Linked DNA regions of Cricetulus griseus. The protein of the gene in region 1 purifies or fractionates together with the protein of each later gene. This does not show direct contact. Links are inferred from orthologs where the notes say so. Each region holds a gene or a part of one and is shown on either strand. Other genes may lie near its edges.

Evidence for each region. The genes of interacting proteins can lie anywhere in the genome.
Region 2: the proteins of Mbtd1 (region 1) and Epc2 purify together in Homo sapiens (affinity purification with mass spectrometry; 3 studies listed by BioGRID and IntAct, with this or other methods). This does not show direct contact. The link is inferred for Cricetulus griseus from reciprocal best matches to the Homo sapiens genes MBTD1 and EPC2.
Region 3: the proteins of Mbtd1 (region 1) and histone H2A.Z purify together in Homo sapiens (affinity purification with mass spectrometry; 3 studies listed by BioGRID and IntAct, with this or other methods). This does not show direct contact. The link is inferred for Cricetulus griseus from reciprocal best matches to the Homo sapiens genes MBTD1 and H2AZ1.

Annotation. Positions count from the first base shown.
Region 1 is NC_048600.1:106,843,275-106,846,774, forward strand, and holds part of Mbtd1 (MBT domain-containing protein 1), read left to right. Parts: intron 1-97; coding exon 98-245; intron 246-2,180; coding exon 2,181-2,263; intron 2,264-2,980; coding exon 2,981-3,215; intron 3,216-3,500. UniProt on the Homo sapiens protein: Chromatin reader component of the NuA4 histone acetyltransferase complex, a multiprotein complex involved in transcriptional activation of select genes principally by acetylation of nucleosomal histones H4 and H2A.
Region 2 is NC_048599.1:124,849,023-124,853,283, reverse strand, and holds the start of Epc2 (enhancer of polycomb homolog 2), read left to right. Parts: upstream 1-1,461; 5' UTR 1,462-1,761; coding exon 1,762-1,914; intron 1,915-4,261. UniProt on the Homo sapiens protein: May play a role in transcription or DNA repair.
Region 3 is NW_023276806.1:21,775,367-21,779,409, forward strand, and holds histone H2A.Z, read right to left. Parts: upstream 2,801-4,043; 5' UTR 2,647-2,800; coding exon 2,644-2,646; intron 2,169-2,643; coding exon 2,091-2,168; intron 1,781-2,090; coding exon 1,667-1,780; intron 1,304-1,666; coding exon 1,174-1,303; intron 914-1,173; coding exon 852-913; 3' UTR 474-851; downstream 1-473. UniProt on the Homo sapiens protein: Variant histone H2A which replaces conventional H2A in a subset of nucleosomes. Nucleosomes wrap and compact DNA into chromatin, limiting DNA accessibility to the cellular machineries which require DNA as a template.

The sequences.
Region 1 (3,500 bases):
TTTATGTAATACTTTCGTTCAGAATATAATTTAAAATATTGTTTTTTGTAATATTGGTATTCATGTTCACATACTTGGGATTCTCTTGATTTCAAAGGTGCTGGCTGATGGGTTCCTGATGATTGGGATCGATGGCTCAGAAGCAGCAGATGGATCTGACTGGTTCTGTTATCATGCAACCTCTCCTTCTATTTTCCCTGTGGGTTTCTGTGAAATTAACATGATAGAACTGACTCCACCCAGAGGTATTCCATCCCGGTATAAACACTCAGTTCTTAGTCTTGCTTTGTTTTTGTATGATATCTGCTTACTTTTAGCACAGTGTGTATATTTATACACAGTATGTGTGGGTATGTATAGATAGACTGAAACATGCAAGAGCTATGAGATGCTCTTAAATTGGGCATGGTGGTACATGCTTGAAATCCCAGCACTTGGGAGCAAAGACAGGAGGATCACCCACAAGTTGGAGACCTGCCTTCTGCTCTAATAGTGAGTCCAGGGCAGCTAAGGCTACACAACAAAAACCCTGACTCGTGGTTAATACATTAATTAAAGTAAAAACACAAACATTGTATTCTAGATCATTTTAATGGATTACAGTGGAAGTTTTTCCTGAATCTTTTATTATTTTTTATGTATGGATGTTTTGCCTGTATGTATGTCTGTGTACCACTTGTGTGCTGTGTACCTTCGGAGGCAAGAATAGGGCATCAGATCCCTTGGAAATAAAGTTGCAGACAGTTAGGAGCTATAGGTGCTGGGAACTGAGCCTAGTCTTCTGGAAGAGCAGCCACTGGTCTTACCTACTCAGCCATTTCTTTGCTCCTACGTGAGCACTTTTTAAATGGATACTTGGCCTTCATGGAAATGAAGCTCCTCTCTCGAATGCCATGTAGCTTCTATTTTTGTTTTGTTGAGATGTATTCTTAGCTGATCTGGAACTCACTATATAGACAATGGGCATTCTCCTGCCTCTGCCTCCAGAGTTCTGAGATTAAAGGCATGTATGAGCAAACCTAGCTTTATACCTTTTAAAAGAAAGTATGTCTTGCCTGGTCTCCAGAACAAGTGACAGGATAGGCTCCAAAGCTACACAGAGAACCCCTGTCTCAAAAAAAAAAAAAAAGTATGTCTTTAGCAACTCATGGTTTCACCAGTGACTTTTATTTTGGTTTTTTGTTTGGTTTTTGGTTTTTCGAAACAGGGTTTCTCTGTAACTTTGGAACTTGTCCTAGAAGTCACTTTGTATTTGTAGACCAGGCTGGCCTGGAATTCACAGAGATCCTCCTGTCTCTGCCTCCCAAGTGCTGGGATTAAAGGCGTGCCCCACTACTGCCCGGCTCACCAGTGAATTTTCTAATTTGAGTACCTTTGGCTTGGGTTTTTCTCAAAGTGGTATTAAAGAAAAGGAAGGATTTGTCAAAAGTATTTGCTCAGCCAGTTTAATTTCCTTCACAAAAAGAAAAATAATCCAGAGTATGAAGTGCTAGACTGTTAGTTTTAAAGCCTAGTATTGCAGGGAGGAGTTGTAGCTCTTGGTGGTAGGAGCACCTTGCCCAGGATGCTGAGGCCCTGGATTAGATATACAATGCCACCAAGGGAAAGAAAAAAGCATAAGTCTATCCTTGTAGTAAACAAGTCACTTCTGCACTAGGCTAAGGAGGCAAACCTGTGTCTGCAAAGGAGGACGTCTTCATAATATGGAGCCAGTATGCTCAGTAATGTTAGAACATGAGTTAGAAGTTCTTACCACCAAGTAAAGTGTGTATTCCTTCAATCCCAAACTTGGATATGGAGAAGAAAGGAGAATGAGGTTACCTTCTATTACTACATAGCATGTTTGAAGCTAGCCTGAGCTATTTTGGACCCCAATCTCAAAAATAAAAATACAATTTTTTTAAAAACAGAATAGGCGTGTTGTGTCACACGCCTTTAACCCCAGCACTAAGGAGGTAGAGGCAGGTGGATCTCTGTGAGTTCCAGGCCAGCCTGGTCTACAGAGTTAAGTACTAGGACAGGCTCCAAAGCTTCACAGAAAAACCCTGTCATCAAAAAGAAAAAGAAAAAAACAGTAGAAAGAAATTACATCACCTAAAATCTAAGATTTCATGTGCTGAGTTATTTAAGATTGTGCTAATTTTAAATGAACTGTTAACTAAACCAGTTGTATTTTTTAGGTTACACAAAACTTCCTTTTAAATGGTTTGACTACCTCAGGGAAACCGGCTCCATTGCAGCACCAGTAAAACTATTTAATAAGGTAAATTTGAATGGTGGCATGATCATAACATAAGAATGGAAGTTAGTCGCCAGGCAGTGGTGGCACGCGCCTTTAATCCCAGCACTCGGGAGGCAGAGGCAGGCGGATCTTTGTGAGTTCAAGACCAGCCTGGTCTGCAAGAGCTAATTCCAGGGCAGCCTCCCAAGTTATACAGAGAAACCCTCTCTCGAAAAAAAAAAAAAAAAAAAAAAAAAAAAAAAAAACAAGAGGGGAAGTTTCTCTTGAGCCAAAATTTTTTGCCATATGTTAGAATTTCTTAATGAAGATTAGCAAAAACAATATATGTATTTTCTTTAGGGAAAGAAGAATGTTTATAAATTTTTTTATTAGTATAAGGGAGGTTCTTTGTGCCAAGACTCATGCATAGAGCTCAAAGGACAAATTTTTGGAGTCAAGTCTCTCTTTCACCTTTACATGGATTCTGGGGTCAAATTCAAGTCTCCAGGCTTGTACTTTTGCACACTGAACCATTTTTGTCAACCCTAAACTATTTGATCTTTAACCAGAGTGGAATGAAAGTGAATACTTTTCCTGACTAGTTCTTAAATACCTCCCTATTGCAATATGGTGACTTAGCAAAAGAATTGCTGTGAAGGTTTTTTGGGAAAAGATTTTAGATGTATCATTTGCTGTTCTGGTGATAGCCGACTCTACTCTCCTGAGCATCAGTGTTAATAATTTGTTTCTCTGTGTCAGGATGTTCCAAATCACGGGTTTCGTGTAGGAATGAAATTAGAAGCTGTAGATCTCATGGAGCCACGTTTAATATGTGTAGCCACAGTTACTCGAATTATTCATCGTCTCTTGAGGATACATTTTGATGGATGGGAAGAAGAGTATGATCAATGGGTAGACTGTGAGTCCCCTGACCTCTATCCTGTAGGGTGGTGTCAATTAACTGGATATCAACTACAGCCTCCAGCATCACAGTGTAAGTTGCTAATACAGAAAACATGTACTTTTATAAAAACCAGCTAATTCTTCAGAGGGCTGTCTCATGTAAATCAACTTGTAAGCTCACAGGACAAGAATATATCAATGTTTGATGAGCTGACAGGTAAGATACTAAGACTCAACAATATCACAGAATTAAACGAGGTATGCCATGGTCAGTTATAATAGAGAAAACCAGAAATCACCAAGTAAACTACACCATTATCAAATTGAACATTGCAGTATAAAAATATATCATTCATAAGTGTTGTTGAGTAAATAG
Region 2 (4,261 bases), on another chromosome or scaffold:
CAACCATACTACCTTCAAAGGGAAAGTTGGAGACAAAGGGGAAACAGAGAAGGGAAAAGGGTAGGGAGAAAAATAGAAAATAAGTGGGTGGCAATGAAGATAGTTGTGCTTTATCAAAAAATAGGAGAAATTAGTTTTTACAGTTAGATTTTAGCAAACCATCTACCCTTTTCTGAGCGAGGTAGGGATTTTGTCAATAATTACAAAATGGTAAAATTGTTGCACTTTGTGGGAATTTTCTGAGAAACCTGTAATGGTTAAAGACAAAGAAAACTAGGCAACAAAGAGGTTTGTGTCAACAGTAGCTGTATCTAATTGAGTCAATTTGATTCTTCCTTTGGCAGAGATACTGCTCTACTGCTTCTGGCCAAAACTATGTCGCCTTTCTCTGACAGGTCACAGCAACTGCCCGTAGATGTCATTTGGTGATTAACTTTGCATTACTCTCTCGTGTCATCTTGTATCGTTTTCTTCAAGTAGCCAAGCATTTGTCTATATGTTTTTGGACTATAATCTTTTCAGATGCTCTTTTCTTCAAGTATTTACGACTCTTACTGCTAATTATTCAACAGTTGTAAAGCCGTAACATGCAAGTTAATTGATTCAGGAACTTTATTAAACTCTTCGAGTTGCCACAGCAACCAGTATTTTTTTTTTTAACATACGTATTTGCTTGGGCAAAATATTTCAAATCGAACCTTTAAGAACTGGCTTTTTTTTTTTTTTTTAAGTCAAGAGAACTACCTACCATCCACTAAATAACTAGGGAAGTTTGGATGACAGGTGCAAGTCCGCTTGTTGCGCCCAGCAGTCTCAAACTAGGAGCCCTCACGGCTACCACAAGCATCCTGCCGGTGCAGGCGGTGCAGGCGGGAGTGCCTCACGTTGGGGCGCTCTTTCGGACCGGGGCTGCCCGATTTTTCAGGGCGCGAGACGCAGCAGGGCTGTGACTCTCGGCGTGGGCAGACGCCACGGACTTTGCGTACCTCCCCGGGATGCGCAAACCCGGGGCGCGAACCAGGCAACAGGCGCTCCGGAGATCAGAGCTTTCTAAGCGCAGGCTCGAGTGGCGACCGGTCGCCCGGGTGGCCGACCTCCTGCCCCCTGGGGCGGGCGGTCCTGAGCGCCGCGCCTCCCCGAGGGAGCCCTGCGCGCGGAACGACTCGGCGGCGGAGGCAGAGGCAGAGGCAGAGGCAGAGGAGGCGTCTGCTCTGGCGCCCGGGCGAGCGCACCTGGCACCTGCTGCCCCGCCGGCGTCCCGCCGAGCGCCCGGCACACAGGCACCCGGGCACCCGGACTTAGCTCGCTGTCGCCGGCTGGCTAGCCGCGCCGAGCCGCGCCGCGCCGCGCCGCGGAGCGGAGAGAGTGGGTGGGCAGGCAGGGGAGGGGAAGGGAGAGGAAGGAGGGAGGGAGGGAGGGAGAGGGCGACGCGCGTCCCCGCGGCGGGGGCGCGCTCTCGCGCGGGCTGCCGGGATCGCTCGCCGCCGCTGTGGTAATGTCCGCCATGTTGGCCATGGCGCAGGGAGCGGATCGGGCGGGCGAGCGGCGGATCTAGAGTGTGGAAGCGGCCGCGGGCGGCGGGGGGCTGTTTTTGGGCGGGGTGGGCGCCCATGCGGGGCCGGGGGCAGTGCGGAGGAGGAGGAGGGGCGGGCCGGCCGCGCTGCACTGAGGAAGGAGGTGGAGGAGGCGGCGGGAGTGCTCCCCCCCTCCCCGCCCGCCCCGCCGCCGCCGCCCGGGCTGTTCCTGTAAGGCGGGGAGACAATGAGTAAACTCTCCTTCCGAGCGCGGGCGCTGGACGCCGCCAAACCGCTGCCCATCTACCGCGGCAAGGACATGCCTGATCTCAACGACTGCGTCTCCATCAACCGGGCCGTGCCCCAGATGCCCACCGGGATGGAGAAGGAGGAGGAATCGGTAGGGACTCGAGTGTTTATTACCCCCCCTTCCCTCCTCCCCCCTCCCCTTTGTCAGCCGGGCCTCGCCATTCACAGAGCGCTCTACGCTCGCTGGAGGGCGCCGCTGCCGCTGCGCGCTCGGGACCCTACGCCGGCGGAGTAGCGTAAACCTGTCGGCCGGCGCAGCGCCCGCCCGCGGCCGCCATGTTGTTGCGTCCCAGTGTTGTGATTAGCTCTCGGCGCCGCTTACGCTGCCGTAAGGGGGCCTTGCCGTAAGCAGCGGCCGGGAATGGCGCAGGGATGCGCCGGGCCGCACTTGGCGTACGGCCTCTGTTTACCTTGTAATAGACGTTTCCCCGGCGCGGGCTTGATTAATTGAGCGGTGTTGCGGGGTGGGGGTGGAGGTCCTTTGGCTAGGCGATCTTTTCGTGACACTTTAAGATCCTTGCGTGCATTCGAGTGCCTTTGAGATGATGCAGGAAAAGTAAAACTCAACAAACACCTTCGTGCTAGCTGGGTGATGGTTTGAGTTAGCAGGGTGACGGTGTGCGCTGCCCGCCCGAGGAGGTGCGGCGGGACGAGGCGGTGCAGCCCTGCTCCGGGGCAGCGACTCCCGAGCGGGACCCCGCGTTAGCGAGCCCCCTGCACCGCGCGCGGATTTAGCCTGCCGGGCTGGCCCTGCTCGGTTGCACGGCGTTAGGAAGAAGCCCGAGTGCTAGGAACCAGGCCCGCGCTTCCCAGCGCACCGTCCCGGGGAGGTAGCATGCGAGATGGCCATTTCCAAGTTGAAAGACTCAGTGCGTCCACATTGACATTAGTATTTTTGACCGCATAGTAACATTTTGGCAAAAATGCTATTTCCCTCTCTCCAGGGGTTAAATTTTACCTAAGACTGAATTTCCCCCGACTTGACGGTGTTTACGACTCTGGAGTGTTGTTACTTGCATGCGAAGTTCATAGTAACTGCACCCTGAAGAATTTCTTCAATGAACCTTCAGTCCCGCCTTATTGTCAACCTCGGGTGTGTGTGGATTGGTTCCCGTGCTTCTGTGACTGTCAAAAGAAAGCTGGAGGTTTCTGCGATTGGTTTTCTCTTTTGACTATTAATAGTGCAGGAAATGCATTTAAGCCTTTGATTGGCTGCTTGAATTCTGACCTCATTGTGTTGGTGCTTTGACTTAATCACATTCTCTTTGGTGTTTGATTACCTGATTTAACATTTTCAGTAGAAGATAAAATCGGGCCTCTTTTTAAACCTTCAATTAAAAAAAAAAAAAGCCTAGCTTTTATGCCTAAGATTTAGTGCTTAGTCGTGTTTGAGAAATTGGCTTACATAGTCATTGACTCAATTTTGAACTACCTTCTGACAGTGTCTTGATAAGGTAATTTAGAAGTTGTCTGCTTTTGGTAGCATGGTGTTGTCTTTGCTGGACACATCTTTCTCTTAACCATTTCTTTTGGACGTGTGTTTTTACATTGCTTTCTTCTCTTCCTTATGTTTGTTGAGGTTTAACAGTTGTCATCCTGTGTTTCAGTCCCAGTAGTGTTCCTCATGGTGCTTGGTCTAAAACTCTGTAATTTATTTTTACTGTAAACCCCAAAAAAGAACTTATTAGTTATTTGGCTATTTCTTCATGAATATTGTATAGTAGTAGTTATTGTTTTTAATATTGCTGTTTGTGGAATATTTAGATCCCAGATACCGTGTCAAGAATTCTAGGTATATTTAATATAAAATTTTTTTAAAAATTTACTTTTCTGAGACATAAATTCAGGAAGATTTACCCGTTTACAATAAAGATTTAATGAGGTTTCACAAATGTATACAACCAAGAATAAGAAACATTTCCAACTTCAGAAAATGTTCTTGTCCTCTGTAGCTAATCCCTGGACTGTAATTCCAGGAGACCATCTACTTGCTTTCACTATAGATTGGCATTGCATTTGGAAGTTTTGTGTCAATGGAGGATAAGTATGTGTGTATGGCTTCTTTTGCTCAGCATGATACTATTAATTATTGTCTCTTGTTTTATACACCATGTATTCCTTTTACTGCTGAATAATATTATAGTTAACATATACTCCATATGTACTTGTTACTAGACATTTGAGTTTTCCCTAGTTTATGATTATCTCTTAATCTTAGTGATGACAGCCTTGTGAGTCACTACAGTTTTCTGTTTTATAGATAACCTAAAAGGTCTCACTGATGGTAATGGTCAGGAATTCAAACCCTTGCTCTTGATGTTGAAAAGTTTACTGCTATAATCCCCATTCTTTCATATTTAGGATTGTTATAGAACCCAGAATTATCATGGTATTATATTTATTAGGATTTTTGTAAATAATTTATTTTTATAATTCTG
Region 3 (4,043 bases), on another chromosome or scaffold:
GGTTGCATGCATACCACCTCCTGTTACCAATTTTTGCCTCAGAAAGGAGCACGCATGTTGTCTCGGTAGGGTGAAAGGGGCAGATGCGTTTTCTCAAGCTCTTAAGGAACATGCCTGATATGTATCAATGTTTTCATCATGTTACCCTAGTCTATGAAAATAGCACGCATCCCCTGTGACTAGCATTTCACAGTTGACAACAGTGTCTGGTCACTGAGAATGATTTAACTTCTACATCTTAAGTTCATTCTGTGGAGGTTATTATGTTATACCTGGGGGTCTCTACCGGTCCAGCTGTCCCAAATTGTGATACAGTGCCTTTCACAGTTACTGTGAATGTCCAACAGCATGCCTAGTTCATTATGACAAATTGGTTATGACTTGTTGGTCTACAGATGAAGTGTTTGATTAGTAAGCAAAGAAGGTAGGGGAGCTGAATGAGATCTAGTAGTAATCATCAAGCAAGTTTAAAACTAGTTTGGGATATGACCTTTATTGAGCTTATCCACCAGAGTGGAAATAATGTCTGTACAAAACCAAATGTTTGTTACTATAACTTCTGCATCACAATTAAAATCCAAACAGTTTTTTAAAAACAGTCAACTCAATCAAAACCCACTACTTCAGAATCAATAGCTTCTTTGAAGCCACAGTAACACTTAAATATGGTTAAGACTCGAATGCAGAAATTTGGTTGGCTGGAAGGCTAATTAAGCCTCCAACTTGCTCAAATAGAATTACAAAAAGGCAAAATTGTGTTTTTCACAGAGATACAGTCCACTGGAATCACCGACACTGGACAGCTGTTAAGAATATTTAGAGTCCTGAGATAATAAGGAATCCAGGCATCCTTAGACAGTCTTCTGTTGTCCTTTCTTTCCAATCAGAGATTTGTGGATGTGTGGGATGACACCTAGGAAAGTGACAAGGATTAATTCTACTTTTTGTAGAAACATTTTGAAACAGTACATGAAATCAAAGCAGGTAAATCTACAACTTGAAAGGTCTTAAAAAAAAATTCAAACATAAAGTAAAATGATGAATGATGTTGTGTAAACCAAATTCCATAAACCACCATGATTTATAAAATATATTTAAATGCCCTCTTCTGGAAGCAATGAAAATGTAGGAATTTTCTTATTGGAAAGTAACCGAGTGTCAGTGATAACATACCACCACCAGCAATTGTAGCCTTGATCAGAGAGTCCAATTCTTCATCCCCGCGAATAGCAAGTTGCAAGTGACGAGGGGTAATACGCTTTACCTTTAAGTCTTTTGATGCATTTCCTGCCAATTCTAGTACCTAAAAGGCAAAATTCTGATCAATTTTCCAATTCCCTTCAGTCAAGATCCAGGAAGCTGGCTAAACGTCAGTGGTGTTTAACCCACCAACTGTCGTCATCCCCCCACTACCTGAATGACAAAACTATGCAAATGATGCAAAGGACTGAAGGGGCACGCAATTGCTTTTGCAACAGCAGCAAACTCTGGCTCAGCGGGATCCTTGGCTGAACACTAGCTCCCTCTAGCGCCCTCTCTCTGCCTAAGCGCCGCGCTTAGGGCCTGGGAGTTTTCTTGCATCACTTTCCTCCTTCCCTCTCGCCCACTTTCCCCCCCCCGCCCCCCAAACCTTTTCCAGATCACAGGCATACTCACTCCCGCTTACCTCTGCGGTGAGGTACTCCAGGATGGCTGCGCTATACACAGCGGCGGTCGCGCCCACACGGCCGTGGCTGGTTGTCCTAGATTTCAGGTGTCGATGAATACGGCCCACAGGGAACTTGATTTTTTTTTATGCACACAAACAAAAATGCACAAAGATAGAGGAGATTCAGAGATGGAAAGATGATGCGCGCGCGCGCCAAAGCCAAGGACGGTGGTGCACCAAGGCGCCCGGGCAGTTAGCACACGCGATCGACGCCCCCCCCACCAGCCCCCGCCGCCCCAACATTCAGTCTCCGAAGGCCAAGTCGCGACACATCACCCACGCAAAAGATGGAACACCCATGCGAGGCGCCGACAAACAAGCCAGGGGGTGCAAAGATAAAGGCCGGGTCACCCGGGCTGCGTCTGCGGCAGCAGCTGCCTACCTGCAAGCCGGCTCTCTGCGAGCGGGAAACCGCCTTTGTCTTGGCCTTTCCGGAGTCCTTTCCAGCCTTACCGCCAGCCTGCGGCGCCGCCGACGCCCGCGAGCCCGGGAGGGACGGAGAGGATAGAATTACCAAGGCGGCGCGGAGCGGCGCGCCCCTCCCCCACGGCCGCGCGTCCCGGAGGCGGGCGAGCGAGCAGGCGGGCGGGCGGGCGGCGGGCGCGCGCTCGCGGCCCGCCGGGGTCTCCGGGCCGCCGCTCGCCCCCGCCCTCTCTCCCCGCCCGCCCGCCGACCCCCGCCGCGCGCCCCGCGCGCGCCCCGCGCCGGCTCCCAGCTGCGCCGCGCGCGCCCCCCTCCAACCGTCGCCTCCCTCCCGGAGCTCCGAGCTCAACCAAACACCTCCCTCCGCTCGTCCCCGACCCGTCTCCGCACGCTCCCGCCCGCCGCCGCCGCCTCGCCCAAGCCCCGGCGACGGCGGCCCCGCCCGCTCCAAGCCCGCAGCTCGCGGCCGCCGCCGCCCCCCGCCCGGCGGCCCGCCGTCACTCTCACGTTACCATCTCGGACCGTGCTGAAGATCGCACAAGCGAGCAAGAGACGAGGCCAGGCGGACGCACAGCGAGATCCCGGCGCCCACTCCTCCGTCGTACCGCGATTCAAACTGCGCCGTCTCCCGCCTTCCTCGCGCCCTTTATACCGCAGAATGTTCCCTCATCCGGGAACTCGGCTGGCTCGGCCCACCAATGGTCGCCGCCCGCCTTCGGGACGCGTCCTTGAGGCTCCGGCCAATGGGAGGGCGCGAAGCAGGGTGGTGGGGCGGGCGCTCGCGAGCTCGAGCCGTGATTGGCGCGCGAGGGGTGGGGAGGGGGAAGAGTGGGGGAGGCGGCGGGACGGGACCGGGAGGGGAAGGGCGCCGCGGCGGGAGGGCAGACACAGAGCCCTGCGCCACCGAGGAGGGAGCGCGGGCGAGCGCGAGAGCGGACGCGGGGTCACGTGCCTGGAGGGCGGGGCTGAGAGGCTGGGGACGGGCGCGCGGGCGTCCTCCCGCGGTGTGCGGGAGACCACGTGAGCTCGCCTCCCGGTCCAGCCTGGGCCTCGCAGCGTCCTCCGGTCGGCCTGGCCGTCCCCCCCCCCTCCCCGCAGACCTCGGTTCCCCGCGGGCCCCTCCTTTGTGACAGGTGGCGCGAAGGCCTCCAGTGAGAGGAGCTCGGCTCGGCCCGCACTTGCTGAAGCACTTCCCTGAGAGACCGTCTCTTACCCCCGCCGGAGGTTGTTTTTCATCTTCCTCCGCTCCGGTCCTCACCTCTTTTGACCGCCCCCCTCACCCTCCCATCCTGTCTCGTAACAACCGTGGGGGTCAAGTTACCTTGGTGATAACAAATAATTTTGTCTACACACAGGAAGCTCAGGATGAAGCGTTATTATAATGAAATCATCAGCCATAATTTTGCCGAGAGAGACTCCACATCAATGGGGATGCGCCTATAGCCTGGTGTCTAAAGTTGATTTATTGAATCATCAAAGCTATTATGTGTCAGCTTTCCGACACTAAACATTTTGCCACATGAAAAATGTTGGGTAAATGTCAGTGGGGTAACTGTAACATGATTCACAAGCAGCCACAGATGGTTCATGTAATCAATTACAAATGCCGGGCTTAAAAAAGAAAAAGTAGGACTGTACGTACACACGGTCCTGTCCTGATGCCAGTCACTTAGACGTGCAGTTAGCAGGTCGACAATCCCTGTGTACATCACTTAGCTGCTTGGAGACCATAATGATCTAAATCTTTCATATTTACAGTACTTAATGTTTAACTCTTTAAATAAGAAAAATTATTGTGTGGGTGGTTGCAGGTGCACATGCCATGAAGACTTTGTGGAAATCAGATGACAACCTGTGGAGTGGGCTCTCCCTCTCTCCACCTGTACATGGGTTGCAGGGATGGAACTCAAGC